Alligator mississippiensis: one gene and its partner. The protein of the gene in region 1 purifies or fractionates together with the protein of each later gene. This does not show direct contact. Links are inferred from orthologs where the notes say so. Each region holds a gene or a part of one and is shown in the gene's direction. Other genes may lie near its edges.

Region 1 (10,272 bases):
TTACCCCAGTTCACACCACTGGTGTTCCCCGCACCGTCCCCAGAGCGAGGGGCACGCTGGACGTGTGCTGACCTTCGTCTGTGGACTGCATGCCGCCTCTGCTCAGAGTGCTGGGGCCACCATGTGTGGAGTTGACTCCTAGGGTCAGGGCAGTGCCCAGGAGCATGCTGGGAGTTGTAGTTCTAGGTTCTCCGCATGCTAGGGTGGGGAGGAGAGTGTCTGTCTGCCCCTCTTTGAGGGTGGGAAAGGGGAAAGGGTGGAGAGCAGCACTCACTGCTTCCCCATGGTGCTCCAGGACATCAAGCAGAGCTACGATGAATATGCTGATTCAGATGAGGACCAGCATGACGCCTACCTGGAGAGGATGAAGGAAGAGGGCAAGATCCGTGAGGAGAATGCCAATGACAGCAGCGATGAGTCTGGGGAAGAGACAGGTGAGGGCCCTGCCTTCGGGTAGGGTGGGATAGGTGGGGCAGGAGCAGCATTGGTGCTGACTGTTTCCTAGTGCTCCTCTCCTTGCAGCTGAGAGCTCTCCCTAGCTGAGACCTGGGAGATTCTGCCTCCTTGCGGTGGGTGGTTGGGGCTATTGACTCAGTCTCAGTGGTGCGGAGTGGGGAGGTCCTGTCTCCTTTATTTGGTCCTTTCCCAGACTCCTGAGAGCTTCCACTGCTGGGTGACTGCTGTGTACCTCCTGCCTAGCCTGCCATGACCCCCAGCAGTCAGACTGACTTGTATGCTTTTTCTTCCAGATGAGTCATTCAACCCTGGGGAGGAGGATGATGATGTGGCAGAGGAGTGAGTAGGGGCTGGGGGGGGGGGGGGGGGCTGTTCCTATTTCTGGGTGGATGGGTAGGTGGGTGTCCCTTGATACGCTCTTGGCATGGCCTAAGTGGTGCTACCAGTGCCAGCCTGGCTGTGGTGGTTGAGGGTGCTATGGCTTGGCATAGGTGCCTACCCCTCACAGTGCCCACCAGTTCTAGATCCCTGGCTTAGTGGTAGGAGGGAATCTTGACAGGGGATGCTGTCAGTGCCATCTTCTCTAGGAGATGTGAGACTGACCTGCTTGCCCCTCTGCTGGGGCTTTTCACAGGAGTTGCGGGGAATATTAAGCAAAGCAGCACCTGAGCAATGTGGCTTGGCTAACTAGTGAGGCTCCAGTTGGATTCTTCACTTTCTGCCCCCATTGTAGCACTGCCACAAGCAAGGAAGCAGCTACTATCTTTCCCCTCTGATCTGGCTGCATTTCTGTAGCAGGTTCTGTCTGCATCTAAAGTTCTTGAGCTAGCTACCTATAAGTTCTTTGGGGGAAGGTGCCTAACACCCTGGGACAAGGGCTCTGATGTTCTGTGCCCATCCCAGGCACTGCGATGAGGTATGAGGTTTGGTCTTTCCTCTTGTCTTTGGTCAGGCTCTGTGCTTCAGAATGGTCTTTTGATGAGAGCTGATGTTCTTAGATTGTACCTTGGCCAGAGGGATTCCTGAGAGAGCAGGAAAACAGGCCAAGGGGCTTGCTCTTTGAGGTCACCACTCACTTGGGAGTCCCTCAAGGGGGAAAGATGAGGGGAGGGTACAGGGCCCTATTGGAGAATTGCAGAACCAGAACAAGACATTACAGCTTGTTCCCAGGGACAGGCTAGGCCCTGGCTTCTCTCTGGGTAAGGGCTGGCTTCTGTGTAAAATGCATCTACCCCTATAGCTAAGGTCTCAGAGGTGGCCTCTTTATGTCATGCCCCCAGATAACCTTCATTTTTGTCCTCGCTAAAGCACCTTCTTGGAGTTTGCGATCCCTGCCCCCAGTAACTCTTCTGGGCATGGGGCTGATTCCCAGCTGATGCTTCCTCCTGCAGATTCAACAGCCATCCCTCAGCCAGCTCCTCTAGTGGTGATGGTGACAGTGACCGTGACGAGAAGAAACCAGCCAAGAAGGCCAAGATTGTCAGGGAGCGCAAACCTCGCAAGAAACAGTTGGAGGTGAGGGCTGTGCCCAGGCAAGGGGAGAAACGAGATGGGGTTGGATGCAGTGGTCCCCAGTGCTTTCTACAACCAAGCAACATCCTCTGTCCTGGGAGGATGAGTGTCAGCTTCACTCCTCACTAGCTTGCCTTGCTCCTGCCCTGCAGGGATCCTCTGTTGGCACGTGAAGACCCAGGTCTTCATGCTACTGACGTGGCCAGTGAGTACCCTGAGCTCTGGGAAGCTGGTCTGACACTCCTGCTCCCCCTGACCTGACTTCCCACAAGGCAGTGACCAGTCTGTAGAGGGGGTGACTTTGACTTAGACTCTGCTTGTGGCCCACTTGCCAAGCCCAGGATAGCTCTGTAGCCTCCCTCCACCCCTGCCAGTCCAGTTCTGTCAGCTCAGTGTATCATCTGAGCCCTAATAGCAATTTTCTGTCCAGGTAGAGCTCCATCAGGAATAATTCCCCTCCAAAGGGCTTGTGTTGCTGGGGCCCAGTGGATGTCCTGGCTGTGGGAGGGGGTGTCCCACTCTAGCCATGCTGTTAATGGGGCTTGAGTGGGGAATGACCTCAGCCCTTGCTATGAGGAGGTCCTCTGAGCCCATGAGCTCTAAGGGGATCTCATGCTGCTTCTCTCTCTTTCCCCTTCTCCCTCCCTTGCTGCCCCCTTCCACTGTCCCAGGGTAAGAAAAGCAAGGACCCCGATGCCCCTAAGCGGCCAATGTCTGCCTACATGCTCTGGCTAAATGCTAGTCGTGAGAAGATAAAATCAGACCACCCTGGCATCAGCATCACTGACTTGTCCAAGAAGGCTGGGGAGCTCTGGAAGGCCATGTCCAGGGAGAAGAAAGAGGTAAAGGACTGGGAGGAGCTGTGGTAGCATGTTTGAATTGTTAGGGTAGTGTGGGTGTGACGGGGCTGCCAGGATGGTGTTGGTAGGTCTGTGCTTGGGGGATGCCATCCTCTGGCCCTTAGGATGGTTGGGTGGCTTGCTGAGTTGTGAGATTGCCAGTTGGGGGTGGGATGGTGTATGGTGCAGGAGTAGCAGCATGTTGGGTGGGGGGCAGGGGTGGAATTGCTGTTGTGGGTTTGTGACTGACGCTTTGCACTTCCAACAGGTGTGGGAACGCAAGGCAGAAGATGCCAAGAGAGACTATGAGAAGGCCATGAAAGAATACAGTGTTGGGGGCAAATCAGAGAGCTCCAGGACGTGAGTGCACCAGCCTTTGGGGAACCCAGGGGGGAGGGTGGGAGTGATAAGGAGTCATGTCTCCTTTTGGAGGACCCATTCTGCCCGGGGAAGGTGAGCGAGATTGTGGTGAATGACTTCTGTTCCCTCCCATTATGGTGGAGCCTGGGCACTTCCCCAGGGTGGGGTGAGCAAGTCCCCCATGGCTCTACCATCCCAGAGGCAGGGACCCAGGTGGTGGCTGTGGGTAACCTCTGTGCCCGGTGGCTCTCTTGTATTTAGGGAGAAGTCAAAAAAGAAGAAGAAGAAGCAGGAGAAACAGGTGAAGGGGAAAGTGGAGAAGAAGGGGGTGTCTTCCAAGTCTCCATCTTCGAAGTCCCCAGTCAAGCCCACCACTGAAAGCTTCAAGAGCAAGGAGTTTGTCTCCAGTGATGAAAGCTCCTCAGGCGAGAGCAAGAAGGAGGTAGGTGCAGCACTGCCTTCCATGGGTGGGGGGCCCCATCCTCCAGCTGGCTGCTGTACCCATGGCTCTTGCATGTGTCACCGGCTGACTCTCTCTTTTCATGCATTCCCCCAGGACTCGGAGGAGGAGGAGATTGCCAGCACACCCCCCAGCTCAGAGGACTCAGCATCTGGCTCAGATTAGAGAACCTACCCCTGCCCTCCCTTCAGCCCTGCCCCTTGAGCCAATGGCACTCTTCTTAGGTCAGCAGGGCAAGGCCCAGTCCTCTGCACCCAGGTTTCCCGTCATCCAACTGGGAGGACTGGAGGGGTGGGTGTCATACTGAGGTCTACACCATTGGCTAGAACCAGACCTTGGCTCTGCTCCTTCCCTGATGCCTCTGCCCTGGCCCCAGCCACCTCCTGCTGTGTCCTGCTCCCTGAGCTCTACCATCCTTCACAGCTCCTGCTGGTGAGGGTTTAGGAAGCACACACTTCCTTTCTTTGCATGTCACTGAAGGTTACTTGGGGGGTCCTTTGTGTGATAGGCTGTGAAGAGTGTGGTGGGGGAGTGTTGGGGAGGTGGCTGCAAGGGCTCCTAGGCCCCTCGCTTTCTTGCCCTATCAGTGTTTTTATGTTCCGATTTGTTTCTTTTTTTTGTATTTCTGGGCTGCCACATGGGTTGAATTAAAAATCAAGTGTCTTTGGACAGAGCTTCTTTGTGGGTAAACAAAGAGGGATGGAATGAGTGGGGACACAGACAAAGAGCTGTGTCTGCCCAAGAGAGATCTACACCCTCACCCATAGGGGACCTGCCAGGTTTGCTTGTGCCAGGTGCATATCTCTGGCACTTCGGTGCGTGTGTGACACTCCCCACAATGCTGAGTTGGGGCCAGAGCCTTATCTTACTGCCTTCCATTAAGACTGCTGGCCCCTGCAGGTGGCTGCAGCAGCCCTAATTGTGTTAAAGGGCCATCTAGCCTTTTCAGAGCAGCCTAATGGAGGCAGGCAGTCAATAGAGAGCAGTCTTAAGATGAGCTTGGGGGCTCTGCCCTAACTCCCAGGAGGGAGGGGCAGACTACCATCTGGTACCACTGCCACTTTCAAGGAGGACTTAAATCAGCCACCCCTGCTGCAGACAGGTGGAATCAGGAGCTCAGCTCTGCCCTACCATGCAGGAGGCATAAGGAGGAGGCTACATCTTGCCATTTCTGCCCTTCCCCATCTCCCGGCGATTTAGTGTCATTTTCTACTCCACCTTTGGGCCTGTAGCTCTTATCCTCTTAATCAGTAACAGCCAGGAGAGGAGGGGGAGAAGCTCTGTAAAGTGGATCAGCAGATGGATGGGTCTACTTCCATTACAGCTCTCTCCCCACTACGTTCCTGCCAAGGCGTGCTAATCTGACCTGGGGAATGCGTCCTGATCAGATTAGTGCCTATTACCGGACCTCAGTACTCCATTAGAGGAGCTACAGGAGACCTTCCGGCTCCATTTCCCATCACCTGTGACGCAGAGCTGCTTCTCTGTCTTCTTTAATTGAATCAGTGCTGAGCTGTCTTGCTGAGAACTGTCTTTGGAGCTCTTGGAGAGGGGGAAGAGAGCTGTGCCTGGTGAGGGGGAGGGGAGGTGGAATGTGCTAGGCAGCCTGGGGCCCTTCCGAGCCAGCCAGCCGGAGGTTAATATTTGTGCAGATGGAGGATGCCCTGCTTATGAAATTCCCTAGGCTCCCATTTCCATCAGCTTAGTTTTCTGGAGGTTATTTACTGGAACCTCCCAGTTGCCAGCAGTTAATTGGGAAGGAGATGCGCTAATGGCAGCTAAAGCAACTCCTCCATCCAGGCAGCATGCACCTGTCTTTATACTGGTCCTGTGAGCCAGATAAAGCACTGGGGGCTCTCCCTCACTTTGCAGGGGGTGCTGCCTCCTTTCTGGGTGCAGAAGGAAGGAGTACAGGGTGGTGTTGGGTAACATACAGAAGTTGTGGGGAGGGCTGCTCAACACTGGTGTGATAGTGGGTGGCTGTTGGGAGAGGGGGCATGTTGAAGAGAAGGTTTTGCATCCAGTGTACTGAGAAGTGCTTGCCCCAGCTTCCGTTGTTTGTCGCTGCAGCTCGGGCAGGCTTTGGGGAGCAGGACAGGGAGAGCTGTGGACGGCGGGGGTGATTGTGTGGAGGGGTGCAAGAGTGGAGGGGCTTCACCTGAACTAGCTTTAGAGCTCCAGCACCACGATCCTGCTTGCCCTCCAGAGGGGGCCCCAGGGAAGGCGGGCTGCAAGGGCCATCTAGTCCCGTCCTGCCCTCGAGGTAGGGTCATCCCTAAGTAAGTTGAAGGGAGGCTGTCTCCCAGGCAGGGGTTGAGAAGCCGGGGTGTAAATTTTGGGTTTAAAATTCCTAACGCACTGGTTAAAGCGTGCCGCACCAGGTTTAGCTGCTCAAGCTGTGCGGGACGGGCCCTGGGCGCGGGGGGGCGACACGCGAGGAGCGCCCCTGGGCACGACGGAGCTACAGCCCTAGCTCCTGCATGGTCGGAGCCCCCCGCCGGGGGGGGCTGCAGGCGCCTGGACCTGGGGCAGCCGCGGGGCCGCTCTAGCCGCCCTCAATGGCACAGCGGAGCCCCGCCCCCCTCCCGCGGCTTGCGCAGCCGGCCCGCCATGACATGTTGGCGACACGTGAGCGGGGCGGGGCTACGGGCGGCAGCCGCGCGCCTCATGCATATGCAGCAGGGGCGGGCGGGGCTCATGAATATGCAGGGTGGAGGACGCGGGCGGTGCGGCGCGGAGCTTAGCGGGTGAGCGGCGGGGGTGCGGGACCCCGTGCGTGCCCGCCCGCCCGGCCGGCTGGCCGGGGCGGCGGGGTGCCGCGGGGCTGAGGCCGGGGGCGGCGCGGGGGGGGGCCTACGCGTGCGGCTGCGCGCGCAGGCGGGTGCGGGCCCCAGGCCCGGGCCGGGGCGGGGCCGCCCCGGGTGTGATCCGCGCGCCCCTGGGCCCTTGGGGCACAGGCTGGTGCCAAGGCGGGCGGGAGGGCGCTGCGGTGCGGTGCGGTGCAGTGCACACAGCGCGCCCCTTGCCAGGTTTTCTGGGGCTGGGGAGGCGGAGGAATGTTCCTGTTCCTGCCTCCGGGGCTTGGCTCCTTGTAGCTGCGTTGCAACCCCACCATGCCAAGTCATGAGACAAACACTTAAAAAAAAAATCAAGAGATTGGCATGTAAATCATGCGATGCTATTTTTGAAGTGTGTGCGTGTGTCAGGGGTTGTTTACGAAGGAGCTGGGGGATGAGGGTGGGGGGCCCTGCCTGTACTAGCAGGATGTGGGGTACTGTGGGTCAGGAGTGAGGGGCAGCAGCAAGGCTGGGGGGGCTGTGGCTTGGGAGTGAGGGACACACACACGGACACAGACACACACACACACGGACACACAGAGGGACAGCACCCAGCTGGTAAGTGGAGGGGAAGGGGCTTTGATCTGGCCCCTGTAGTGAGAGAAGGAGTGAGGCAGGGGCTGGGATAAATGTGGCCCCAGAGCCAGGGCAGGTCATCCAGGGGTGGGGGGCAGCTACCCACAGCTGTGCACACCCCCGGGGAGGCATGGAGTTCATGTGCCCCCCACGAGGCAGAGAGAGGCTGCAGGCTCAGAGCTCTGTGCCTTGGTGCCTTTGCCCCAGGAGCTCAGCCACACAGTGCCAGTATGTTTCCTGTTGTCAGGGGACATGCTGCGCGGCCAGTGCGCCCCATTAACCCCAGCTCCTACCCCACTCCCTCCCTCACCATAGGGGCCTCGATCTGCCCCCACTTCCTTTCCCCTCCACAAACTTACCAGCTGGGTGCACTCTATGCGCCAGTAGAAAAGTCCTGTGATTTGAGGGTTATATCCTGAGATCATGAGTTAGCGTTAATTTGATTTGGAAATCGGGAATCTCACAACTGTTTTGTGAGAGTTGGCATTGCTGCTGTAGTGATGGCACCACTAAGCCTTGATGCTTGGGCTTGCCCCACTCGGTCTCTCAGTCCCTAGAGCTGGTTTCACTCAGTTTCCTTTTGATTGTGGCTCCCAACTACCTTCCACCAAGCTGCTAGTGAGCTGTTCCTTTCTGGGGCAGGAGCAGAAGGCTCCATCTCTTTGCCTTTGCCCTTCTACTACAGGTGAACTTTTGGCTCCTAGTCATTGTATCTGAGGGTTCTTGCTCTAATATTCCTGGTCTGATGCTACACGCTATTCGTCCTCTGCTGGGAGTCCCCTGCTCTCGACCCTGGAGATAGCTGGGGCTTTCTTCTCATTTCGCCTTGGTTCCCTTATGCCCACTTCTCAGGGTGACCTGAGCGCTGATGGTAGCAACAGGCATGTGGTAGAGTCAGGCCTGTGCTGTAGTCTGCTGCTGGTTATAGCTCTGTTGGTCAGAAGGTGAAGAGTTGTGGTCCCTGACCAATACAGCTAGGCAACTGAAATGTCTAGCATAGACGCAAAGAAATTAAAAACTCTAGAACTCTTGGTTCAGAGATGATACCTTTTATAAGACTAAGACATTGCAAAAAAATTATCTTTTTTTGCAAGCATTTGGGCACATGTACCCTTTTTCAAGCTGAGGGAAGATGGTAAAAGTCCCCATAGGTAGAAAATAAACTTGCAAAGTTTTGCATTTCTTTTTGTCTCAGACCAGCACAGCTACCAAATACATCCTTGTAGCATAGACACAGGCATGCTGGCTTGGTCTTTTGGGAGACTGCATCCCTTTGGGGATGGTATAAACTCTTCTGGCAGAAGTGATCTTTTGTAGATAGGAAGGAGGTTGCTGACAGCAAAGCTTTTTCCAGCATAGACCAGGCCTGTGTCTGTACCAGGAGCACCCTGCTGCTACAGGGATGCTAGTGGGCTTTGCTGTGCTGTCTGTGTTCTTAGTGTGGACGTGGACAGCCTAGTAAAGTGGTGTTTTGTACTGATGTAACAATCCTTGTTCCATCAAAACCAGCTGTGCTAGTGAAAACAGGCTTTGGCTAATACTATGGCTCTTGATGCCCCTGGGCCAACACCTGTAGCATGGGCCTGGCCTGAATGAACTCATGAGAAGGATGACTGTCCCCCACCAAGAGCCTCTCTTACGCCCACGGCCTTCTCTCCTGTCAAGGTATCTTTTGGCCTGATCTGTCCCCCTCTTCCTAGAGCCCTTTGCTAGGAGATGTGCTCTGCCCCTGCCCCTTATATTCCCCCTCTTCTGAGTTCCTGGTTCCCCTCTCTCTTCAGAGGTCTGGATCCACTCTCTATGTTCCCACCTGGGTAGAAAATGCTGCCTGGCTTCCCTTCAGCTCAGCCTTTCCTGCCTTGAGCCCCTTTTCCAGGGACTGCCCAGCCCAGGAAACATAAATCAGCTCTTCTCCACTTGTCCCCCTTGATCTGCCTTCTCAGGATGCCCCCCATTGTGACCCCCTCTCCCTCTCTGCTATCTCTGGGGCCATCTGGCAGGTCTTTCATCTTGCCTAATTCTCTTCCCACTTGGTTCTGCACCTGGGGACAGAATGTGCTCTAATTGAATGGTGCTGTGCCGCACTTGGCTGCATCTAGCACTTGGCTGAGAGAGAGTGCCTGGGGACATGGCTGGAGAGATGCTCTGTGGGACAAATACTCGGGCATGCTTTCCTGATGGGGGCTGGCAGGGTGAGTTCAGGGGCATGTGTGGGGTTCCCCCAGTGGAGAGGGGGTAAGGTTTAGGAAGGACAGACTCCTTCCAGGAATGCCTTTATTGGACAATGCACCCCTCGGCAGGCTTTAGGAGAGGCCATATTTGGACCCTGGTCCTGGCTCAGAGTAGTCTGATGGTCCATAGTCTGTAGAATGACTGAGACTCACTCACTCATCTGTGAGATTGTACTACAGCTTTGCACGTCACTGGGGGTGACTAAGTCAGAAGCCCAGGTGATGCCAGAAGAGGGAGACTGGGCAGTGCCCAGCCAATGCTTTCTCAGTGGTGGGGAAAAGCAGGAGGAGTTATTGGAGGAAAGCCTGAGAATATAAGTTCTGAACTTGTGGAGCAAGAAGGGATATGGACATTATGGGGAGGGGGGGGCAGGGGGGGGGTGAAGCGTGGGTGGAAGGTAAGGATGTTGGCACCCGTGGGACAGATGAATTGGGTTATGGGGAGGGGACCCAGTGCAGAGGGAAGGACAGATACTGGTGCAGTTTTGAGGTGAGTCAGTGTCAGGAGGGGGCACAGTGTGGTTGGATATTCAGTGGCTTTTGGCACTACAGGCAGGGCTGTGTTGGGGTTTATGGAGGGGTCATAGTATGGATGGAGAGTTGGGGTATCAGCACCACTGGGGGACAAATTGGGGTCTAGGGAGGGGATGCAGTGTAGAAGGAGTGTCTACATATTGGGATAGGGGGTGTGCATCGGGGAAAGGGGGGGAACAGTGATTGGGGCAGTGTGTGGGGTAGGAGGTGTAGGGCACAAGGTGGGGGGGGTAAGATAGAAGGGGGTCATTGGGTCCTGCTCATGGCTCAATTCCCTACAGCCTGCCCCATGCTTTATGCAGTTGCTTTCTTGGCCCCTGCCTTGGCACTTTGCTGGCCTGGGAGTGGTCATGCCCTAGTAGCTGTGCAGGAGGAGGGGGGTGGGCTGAGCCTGGGGTCAGGGGAGACTCCGAGATGGTGTCCAGTCTTGGCTGTGCTAGGACACGCTCTCTGCTTGGCCACGATCT
Region 2 (10,536 bases), on another chromosome or scaffold:
CTTTTAAGGCAAACAGGACATCTGCCTGGGTGTTGATGGAGTGAAAAATAATATTCTGAAGTCTGTTTTTAACATTTTTGCAGGGGAGGGAGGAGCCCCAAACCTGATACCTCCTGGACAGCGTGTTGGGTTTTATTAAACGTGGCATTTTGATTTACTCATCAGAGACTGCAGTGAATGGGAAAACTGTTAAAAGAACAGATTTTACATTCCAAATGTATCCTAGGTAAAGCTGTTTCAGAATTAGCCGGGGTGGAAAGTATATTCTTTCCTATTCATATGCTGTTTTGCTACTGTGTACAAAGACTATCTCCATAGCGAAAGCTATCGGTGGGGCTGGATGTGGAATTCAAAACCACTGGGTAGTCTTGTGGGTACCTCTGAACCATGATTTTTCCTTTTCATATTTCCAAGAAGCACTCAGGTTCTTGGCCTCGAGCCAACCAATGTCACTGGTTTACCAATTCTGAGCAATAAAAACCACTGAAGCGACCTTTGCAAGGGCTAGAAATTGAGGATCTTTTAGCAAAAAACCCAAACTGAATTGTAACACAACTTCACGAGAAGCCATAACATAGGTTCATATACTTTTAAAGTTCCACAAGCTTAAAATAAAATTATAAAAAGATAGTTGGGTACTTTGACTTCAAAAACACAGTTGTTTTTTCTTTTTGCCTTTATATATGGAGAAAACATTGCATTTAAAAAACAAGCACTTTTTCCCTCTAAAATCTCAGATCCAATAAACTCTCCAATTGAGTTTCTTTGGTTCTTGCTAAACACTGGAATAAAAAGCATAGGAAGCATTTTGTTGTATATTCAACATATGCAGGAAGATGAAATGAAAAGCACATCGTGTCAGACCACAAATGTTTTGCAAAGTTCTGGCTTGAAGTGAAAAGTACTTTGTTATGCTAATAAAAAAAAAGTATTTATCCTTTTGCTTCCTTAAATATAATCAAGTATACAGGGAAACCACATGTATTTTATAGACACTGATTGCAGGATCAAAAGCCCTCTTATTAATTGCACATGAATCTGATGTTGTTGAGCTGTTAAGCTGTCAACTGAAATCACTGTTTGCTCCTTTGTTTATATTCCCCTCATTTTTAAGACACATAATGTCTGACACTAAGCCCATCAGAGCACATTCTGTTTCTCTTATGGTGGATGTTCCCATGTGTGGGAAATGCTTGCAGTTGACTGAATCCAGACCCAGTGAAACCAAGCAAGGTGCTGTTTCTGGAGGTGATAAAGCAACTAACCCACCATTGTTCTGTTCTCTCCGTCTAGTGCACAGAGCCACCAGTGCAATCTAGTGGCAAAATCAAAATCAGAAGCGTATTTTATTCTGGTATTTGTAATCCGTGCCCAGCAGCATTGACAAATCCTTTTGCCACTGGATGGTAAGGAATTTTCACGATCAGCTTCTTATCTAATTAAATGTAAAGAGATGAATAACTTCTCATCGGTAGATCTCAAAATGCTTTACAGAGGGAGCTGTCATCCTCATTTTATGGACAGGGAAGCTGAATTACAGAGGGGCCAAGTTATTTGTCCAAGGACAGACATGGAGCAAAGAGCACAGTGGGGAGCAGAATCTATGTCTGCTCTGAGCCCGTTGCCTCCAGCTGAAATCCTGCTGGGCAACCTCTGTCCCCTGGTGGAATCCAGCATCTAGAGAGCACAATGTGAGTGTAACCTCCTGCCGTTCTTTATTTAGTAGCACTTTGTACTCACTTTGCACAGATGGAATAACTATACAGAGTGCAGAACAGCCCAGAACCTGGTCCCTATCTATAAGCTCTCTGTGCTCTCACAAACTCCCGCTGCTAATAGTGTTTATCCATATTGCCTTCTGTCTCCTTCATTTCCTCATCCTGCCTTCTGGTTGCCAGAGAGACTGCCTCTTCAACTGCCGGTTGCGAGGCATCCTTTGCAGGCGACCCTACCCTGAAGTTTCTTCTCCTGGGTAATGTTTAATCCTGGATTTCATCCTGTGCTTTCCTTTGTTTTCTTCAGGTTTCACTCTTTGGTACAGCACCGTGTCAGTCCCAGGAATTTCCTTGACCAGAGACTCAGAGGATTTCCAGTTTCCTCTTCTCTCTGCTCCAGCTGCGTCTCTGTGACCTTTATATTCATGTAGCTACTACAAGAGAACTGCATAAACTCATCTCAGTCTGCTTTCAAGAACAGCAGCAAATCACTTCCGTTGAGAGAAAGCCAGTCATTGGCAAAGGTGATGCTACTGTTATTCCTCATATTGTGCCTTTAATCTGTGCCCTTTAAAAACCGTTATATGTTGATTTATTAATATTATTGGTTCCACAAAATCATAAATCCCTGTGGTATTTTATAGGCAATTTGAAAAACAATATAGGGACAACAGGATGCACAAGGGTTGCTTCTTCAGCCATGAAGTGCAACCAGCTCTAGGGAGGAACACAACTGTTTAATATTGTTGCAAAGTAGTTTCTGTGCAACGTGGAATGGAAGGCAAAAATCCTGTATCCAACTGCAAACTACAAAGGGAACTTAAGCCAAGAGCATGCCACTGCTCAGTTTTGTATTATTACCCCAGCACCTTGCAGTTAACATCATATATATTCTTGGAAATTAATACTGTGCGCTTTTTAAGGGTACCAAATTAGAAAGCCTTTTTAAATCTCTCATACTAAAGGCAATACCTTTAGATAGTATACCACTTGGAACAGTTCAGTAACAACGATGTCACTTCCTCTTGCTCTGTTTTGGCATTTCTTGGAAGCCTCCCGTTCACGAATAGCCCTAGTCCAACTTCGGTTAGCTGACAATCGCAGAAAATCACAGCAGAAGGTGGGATGGCTGCAACCACAGTTACATGCACAGACTCGCCCCTTATTCAGACATCACCCACACTGCGATTACAGCCCACCAGAAAGAGTCTGGTCCCACATTTTGATAAACAAACAAAAAAAAAAAAAGGTCTCTTAAGCATGTCCTGCCATAAACAAACAGAGCAAGCAGCTGGTCCTCATTTGAAGAGATGTTCCATCAATCTGAGCAGGAATTTGCAGATCATCTTAATGCAAATATTTTTGGGAAAACAGAAAGCAGCTGTTTATTCGTCTTTATACCTATTAGCAGGAAAACAGAATCCAGGATGCTTGTATTTCTGCCACTAAGGAAAACATCCTCTTGGCCTCAACATTCGTTTGGATTTTGGAAATTGTTTAAAATACACCCGGCTGCAGTTTCTCTCTCTCTTGCTGTATGTTCCTTTGCTGACCACAGAGGCGCAATAAGAGCCTGAGAGCAGAGAGAAGCTGTACAGCAGATCTGCTAAATTAAAAGCCTAATAATCTTTGCCTACCTCATATGAGTGTTTTGAGGCAAGAATGAGGAGGTCAAATTATTATGCAAAGTGACATAGCGCTACTGGCTTCAGTGCAGCTCTGCTGATTTACACCGGTATAGACTGTGGCTCAGGGAATCCAGTGCTGTCATTTTCAAAATGGAAATCTGTAGCTGTTTAGTGCATACTGTTTGTTAAATTCACTAAAAATGGGCACTGGCAGAGCTGCGTCCTTTTGGTAAAGTTCTAAATGGGAGCTAATATTTAATAGCATTTAGATTCAAGTCATGAACAACTGTGATAACATATTAGGGTAAAATCAGAGCTACCCCCTGGTCATTTCCTGCCAGAAGGACATATGCACATAATATTACATGGAAAAATAGAAGCCATTCATCCGAAAATACACAGTTTCTGTTACAATCTTCGTGCAAGTGTTGCCCACACCATTATCAGAGACGCTCATGCCAGCTCCCACGACATTACATCAGACAAGGAAGCATTTTGTGACTCCTCTTGTCAGGATTTCCAGTTTCCATAGAGCATGCTTCCAGGCTAAGAAAAATAAAGGAACAACAAGAGGGTTTTTGGCTCATGTTAGGGACAAGCCTGCAATTCAGATGCCAAAAAGCACCAGCAGAGGGTCCTCACAAACCTGGCACTCAAGCCCTTTTGAAACATGGGCCAAACAATTGTTCCAAGAGAACTATAGAGGAAAATGTTGCCCCATAATGGAGTGGATTCTCCCCTGGGGGTAACTCTACGGACTTTAGTTGAGTTACATCTGGGCATAAAGTCAAAACCATGTGTCAGCAGTGATTCACAAATACCAGCACACAGAGGCCAGATTCAGGATCAGTTTTGGCTCAAATAACAGGATTTAATAAATCACCTGAAACAGTTAATTAATTGTTATTTTGCTGGAAGCAGGGTGGAGTGGAGTGGTGATGTACTTTACTCACACAGACCTTGAGACTTCCTGATTTTCATCTTCTTGCATTTGGGTCCCCATATTACAAGCACTGTAATGCACCAAAGACCCGCCTAACTTTAATCAGGTACTTGCATGCTTTGCTGAATTAAGGCTTCTATTTCTTCATAAGAATGATGGGTTGCCTATGGAATGAATTAATGTTCCCTCTACGTAGCTAGGAGCTATAACTTGTGCTCCAGAATCTAAGCATAATTAATATATATTATAGGCAGCACAGACAGTGACATTTATTCTTCAAATTACCCAACACTTCCTATTGTAAGATCCAGTTCCCATCACTTTGCCAAAATGCTAGTGGCTTGCACTGGAATTTTCTATGCTAGGTGTTTGCGTCAGGCTGATTTTTTTTGGAAAGGTTTTGTTAAATACTTTCAGATATTCCCCAGAATGAGATTAAACGGACCTCTTGTGCTCTGCTCATGTAAAAATCATTCATACAATTGTTTAATTGAGAAGCTGTAGTACCTTAATGCTTTGAAGCAGAGGCTTACAGTTTAGCACGTGGTGTGGTCATCAGGTGTCAGGGATATGCCTCTTGATGTTCCTGGGGTGAAAAAAGAAAACACATGAATTTTTATCCGAGTTATAAACTTTGAAAAAAAAAAAGCTCAGCTCACACCTTTTCGGGAAAGGTTTGCTAGAGTCTGGCAGCTAAATTCCATGAATGTTTCATCTGCTCTGAAAAAGTTTTATTTTGTTTTAGCTCCTACATGCCTATGAAGCTGAGCATACTACATCCCGGCGATTTACGGATTAAGCAGGACTTTCCCTAAAATTGAATCTTTAAAAACTGCTTTAGAGCCAGATACCAGGTCTGAGGCTAAAGACATGGTCTTTCCCGTGCTCTCACCTTCCCCCCCTTGGCACCCAGGCTAACTTAGAAGAAAGCTTTCTGAGGGAGGCAGGGTGACTGGAATTGGCTGGACAAAGAGCATCGGGGGGAATTGGGGAATCAGAATGCAGGATTTAGGATAAGGAGTCAGCAGTGGTGAAATGTGACTGGGACAGTGGAGTGGGGGAAGACTGGGACTGGGACAGTGGAATGGGAAACTAGAACAGACTAGACAAAGAGACATACTGAAACGGGAAGGCAAAGATGGTAGAAACTGGAACTGGCTAGGAGTAAAGAGAACGAGTCAGAGCTCAGTGGGTGGAGGAAGGAGGGACAGTACGAGACAGAACAGGGACGGGCGGGAGGGGCAGGATTCAGGGTACCAGGAGCAGGCCGACCTGTTCTTCCCTCCAGACTAGAGCCCGGATGAACCCAAGACGTGGGAGTCTCCCCACCCCCCCGCCTGCTATCAGCACCTCACCGAGAACCACTAGCAGGGCGTGCGCCTCATCCCCCTTCCCACTGCCTCCCAGGAGGGCGACAGCCTCCTACTACCATTACTTCCTGCTTTGTCCTCAGTGGCAGAAGCCAGAGCTTCCCAGTGGCGGAGGCTGGGGTCACAGCGGGTGCAGGCTGGGGGGGTTCCACTTTCCCAACTTGATTTTATTTTTTAATTAAAAACCTAACTGACCTCTCCCCCTTCCCCGCTTTTCACCCTTGCTGCCCCAAAGCACTACCCAGTGCGCACAATCCCTGTACAACAGGCTGCTAGAGTCTGCAGAGAGCCTGAGCCCCTTGCTGCACCAGGACCAACCACCCTGAACCTAGGGCGTGTAACGTTGCAGTGTCCCTCCCTATTGGCCTCTCCCGTCTCCCCCTGTTCTCTTCCCTATTGGTCTCTCCCGGTCCCCCGCCAGTCCCCTCCCTATTGGTCTCTCCCGTCCCCCCGTTCCCCTCCCTATTGGTTTCTCCCGGGCTTCCCTGTTCCCCTCCCTGATTGGGCGCTCTGTTCTTCCCCCCCTCCTTGGAGTTGGTTGCTTCCCCCTGTCCTTTTCCCCTTCTTCCTCAGCCCCTTGGTGTCTCCTCTCCCTGATTTAATTTCCTTTCACCCATTTAATGACTCAGGTTGTTCTTTCAGTTGGGCTCATCCCTCCATTCAACCCTGCTTCTTTCTATCTCCACCCCCCTCCAGAGAAGAGAATGGTCTCTCCCAGCGCCCCGCTCCTTCCCCTCCCCTCCAGAACGCGGGCCGCTCTCCATACTTGGCGATGGCCGGCAGCCCGCGCTCTGATTGGCCCGGGTGGCGGCGAGGGGCGGGGCCGGGGCCGGGGCCGGGCGGCTGTGACCCGGATGTTCACTCCTAGGCAACGGCGGAAGTGGAAGGGCCGCGGCCTGGCTCAGACGCAGACCGGACGGCCCCGGGAGTCGCCAGCGCCCAGCCCCGCCCCGCGGAGACATCATGGTAAGGGGGGGCCTGGCAGGGCCGGAGCCGCGCTCCCGGGGTCCCTCCTGGCGGGGGCTGCGGGGAGAGGTGCCTGCAGGGCCGGCCTGAGCCGCGGGGCTGGGCACGGCCGGGCTCCGGCTGCTCGCAGGGAGGCAGGTGTTGAGGGCAGGCCGAGGGGAGGGCGGGCGGAGCTTACTTGCAAAGCACAACTTCTCGGAGAGACTTCAGGGGTTGAGGAAAAAACCCCAGAACAACCAACCAAACCCCCAAGGTGTTTCTTCATCTTGGCCTCAGCGACCTGGACGCGAGTCTCCGGAGCGTCCCATCCTCTGCGTTGTGTTTCATTGCGCTGTCACCGAAAAGCAAACGCCGGCCCGTGACCGAAAACCGTAGCAAAGGAGGGCTGGAAGGGGCCCGCCGCCGAGGTCGCGCCTAGTCCGACCCCTGCCGCTTAAGCGCCTGGTTGTCCTACGTAGGTGCCGTGTGCGGCGGAGAAGGGCTGCCAGCGTCGCGTCCGCGATCGATTTGCGAACGCCGAATGGTGGCTTTGGGTTGACGCGTGTCGGTGACGCGCATTCATGATGGGGCTGGTCTAGTGTGTTTTGGATTTGGTAGATGTGCGTAGGACGAGCTGAATCTGTGGCGTGGACGTAAGTCGAGGGCGCTGTTACCTCCGCAGCCTGTTGCACGTCTGATGTTGAACCTGTCGTGGGAACGATGGGAGCAGGCTCGGGCGAGGACGTCTGAGGGGTGTTTTGTGAATGGAATCGTGCATTTCCTCGATCTTTGAAAGCTGTTTCAAAGACTCTTAAAATAAACGGGTAGTAATTTGACTGTTGCTTAAGATAGCAATGAGCACAAGAGTAGGAATGGTAATTGACCAAGGGTCTTACGCTACACTCGTCGGTCTGTACAGGTCCATCTGTCTGTGCAGAGTCTGCTTAAGGCAGGGGTGGGCAAAATACGGCCCGTGGGTTGGATGCGGCCTGCCAGGCCATTCCATCTGGCCCGCGGGGCCCCTAAAAAATTTATAAAATTAATATATATTGGCCCCTGGCTGCCTGTCACGCGGCCCTAGATGGCTCGTCAAAACTCAGTAAGCGGCCCTCCACACGAAATAATTGCCCGCCCCTGACGTAAGGCAACCTGACACCGTTCCTTGCGTGAAGCTCCCTGTATCCACAAACTTCTAGGATTCGAAAGTGGTGCTGTTATAGTGTAATTCTTCCAGTTGAATGTGTAAAGGCCACGACTAGAAGATCTGTCGATCGCTAGATCTATCGATCGCTGTCGTAAAACGCTGTAAAACGATATTGCCTGTTTTGAGATCTTTTCTATGCAGTGAGCATCTGAGTCCTTGTCACACTGACAGGTTCAAGAAGTTTGAGGCAGTTATTTCATTTTTCCCTCAAAACAGCGGGTAATGAGGAGCTTGCACTTGTTTTACACACAATGATATTGAATATATTGTCATCACAAGGCCTAGAGGCCTTAACCAAGATGGAGACTCTTTTGTTACCAAATACTGTACAAGCACATAATGGGAGTCAGTGTCTCCAGCTTAAACAAGGGGCAGGGGAAATAAACAGAGACATTATTTCAATTTGTGCATAAAATAGGTCTTTTCAGAGCACTAGGTTCAGGGTCTCATTCACATACTTGGAGTTAAACATTTGGAATATCAATGGAATCATAGAAAGATGGGGATGGAAAGGCCCTCGAGATCATCTAATCCAAGCCTCTGTTCAAGGCTGGGTTATTCCTTTCTAAACGATCACAGTCAGATGTTTGTCTAGCCTTCATTTAGGAGATTCTAGTGACAGGTTCTGCAACTGTTGGGTAATTTGTTCCAGCACTGAATAGGTAGAAGTTTTTTAATATCTAACCTATATCTTGTTGCAGTTACAGGTGTCATCCTCACTTCTGTCATGGTCCAGGCCCACAGCAAAAACTCATGAGAATGAGTAGGTTTTGTTGAGTACCGTAAATATTAAAGCTTATCTTTCTCCGGGGGGTGAGAGAACATTTTCTCAGTAGAATTTTTGCCTCTTAAAAGAAGAGTCCAGCTTGAATACCTCTGCACATTATAACTGGGAGTATTGCATTTGGGGAAAGGCATGTCTCCAGCCACTTTGAATTTGATTGATGCCTTCAGTTATACCCCAAAAAGCAATGGTCAGCCATGCTAAATATTTAATAACAGTGGAGATCACCAGGCACGTGTCCTTCATGCTTGGGACAAGAGAACCTTTTCAAAATTCTGTACTAGTCCCTGCTTTTTGAGAGGACTTGAAACATGAACACATTTGCAGCCGTGTTGTTGCGTGATGCATCATTTTGGCTGACTCGGTACATTTTGGATCAGCTGGATTTAGTAGATGTGCATAGGATAAGACGGATCTGTTCCTAAGTGCCATTTTAAGTTCAGTGAGAGATACTAGTTTTAAATCTAAACACATTCCTCTCCCTCCCCCTTGTGCTCTGCCCCAGGTCCCTCTTGGAAAAGATCACAGAACACTTGTTCTAGCTGCTCTGGAAAGTTGAAAGTCCCAGTTGATCCTGCTGGGTTTAGACTCATAGTTCTTGGGGTGCCTAGCCATTTCGGATGCCATAGTCCAGCCAGCTGTTGGATGACCAGTATCAAACATGGTGCTTAGACCTGCCTCGTCTCTCTTGGTTTTAAAAATAGTGTTTTGCCCTGAGGGATGCCATAAGTATACTTCAGGGTGTGTAGAGTTAGGGAGTATTCCAGCTGTGTATGTCCTCCAGTGGGTACAACCCAGTCATTGCTTCTATAATGAAAAGCTTCCTTTTCAGACTGTGTAAACTAGGGAGTATATGCAAGGTGCTCGATAAACTGTCCTGGTAGTACTCGCAAACATCTCGTTTTTCTTGTGTGTGCAAAGAGTAAACAAAATCTGAGCAAGATGTTAACATCAAACAAAGGTAAAATTGTATAGTGGGTGGCAGCTCCATTTAATTTGTTACGGCTTTTGGTCATTTGCAAAAAAAATTGTTAGAATGTGTTGCAGCAGCTAAGAAGCACTGAAGCACAGCTGTGATGCTTGGAATGATGCTGATACCACGAGATATAGTTTTGGTGTGCCGTTCTGAGTACTTACTTTTTTTGGGGAAGGGGCTATTTGTCTTATTGCAAGCACACTTGACAAATAACTGTACAGAACAGTGTTTGGATGGTTTAGTTTCTTTTTAACTACTTAAAGCATTTTTTTTTTTTCAAAGCATCTGAAAACTGAGCCCTTCTTTTAGGGGAGTTAAACCAATCTTGCAAACACAACCTGTAGTGTTAAAGCCAGTAATCTGGTTTGTACATCTTCTGTGCTCCTGAGCTAGTTTTTTGCACCGCATGCTTTGGGAACACTGACTGAAGGGATCTTGTGCAGTTCATATTGCATTAGGCAAGTTTAGATATGTAAACTAACTACACATTATCTTAATTTTTTTGGAAATTTGCCTTTTAAATTAGTCTGAGACTGTCCTTTGGGATATCCATTTTCCGGTGATAAAAGCTAAGGTGAATTCATAGCGATATTGTCATAATTCCACATGACATTTCTTACTCTCTTCTAATTTACTAATCTGTGGCAATCTTTCTCCAATACATTAGAATAATTCAAGCATGACTCTGCTATTTGTAATAGAAATCTGTTATCAGTGTGCTTCTCAGTTTCCAGAAGGAAAACAAAATAAAAACACACTGTAAGTATATTGGATTTTATGTCTATTTTTAGCAGATAGTACAGTACTTGCACAGAGGAATGACTCCTTTTGGGAGAGAAGTATTGCTGCCCTATTAAGTTTCTTCTTGTACTGTTGTCAGCTATGCTTTCTGCCCATTTGCTTTGCTCTGTAAAGGACAGCTGATTAATTCTTTACCCTTACACTTCAGGGATGAGCAGACAACACTCCTG

What was found. Proteins that work in one complex are often made in the same cells at the same time.
Region 2: the proteins of TNKS1BP1 (region 1) and CAPZB purify together in Homo sapiens (co-immunoprecipitation; 5 studies listed by BioGRID and IntAct, with this or other methods). This does not show direct contact. The link is inferred for Alligator mississippiensis from reciprocal best matches to the Homo sapiens genes TNKS1BP1 and CAPZB.

What each region holds. Positions count from the first base shown.
Region 1 is NC_081825.1:172,868,582-172,878,853, forward strand, and holds the start of TNKS1BP1 (182 kDa tankyrase-1-binding protein), read left to right. Parts: upstream 1-6,270; 5' UTR 6,271-6,374; intron 6,375-10,272. Other genes in the region: FACT complex subunit SSRP1, read left to right, coding at 296-434, 750-795, 1,848-1,971, 2,640-2,810, 3,076-3,167, 3,429-3,609, 3,724-3,792.
Region 2 is NC_081836.1:5,010,066-5,020,601, reverse strand, and holds the start of CAPZB (F-actin-capping protein subunit beta), read left to right. Parts: upstream 1-6,511; 5' UTR 6,512-6,619; coding exon 6,620-6,622; intron 6,623-10,536. UniProt on the Homo sapiens protein: F-actin-capping proteins bind in a Ca(2+)-independent manner to the fast growing ends of actin filaments (barbed end) thereby blocking the exchange of subunits at these ends.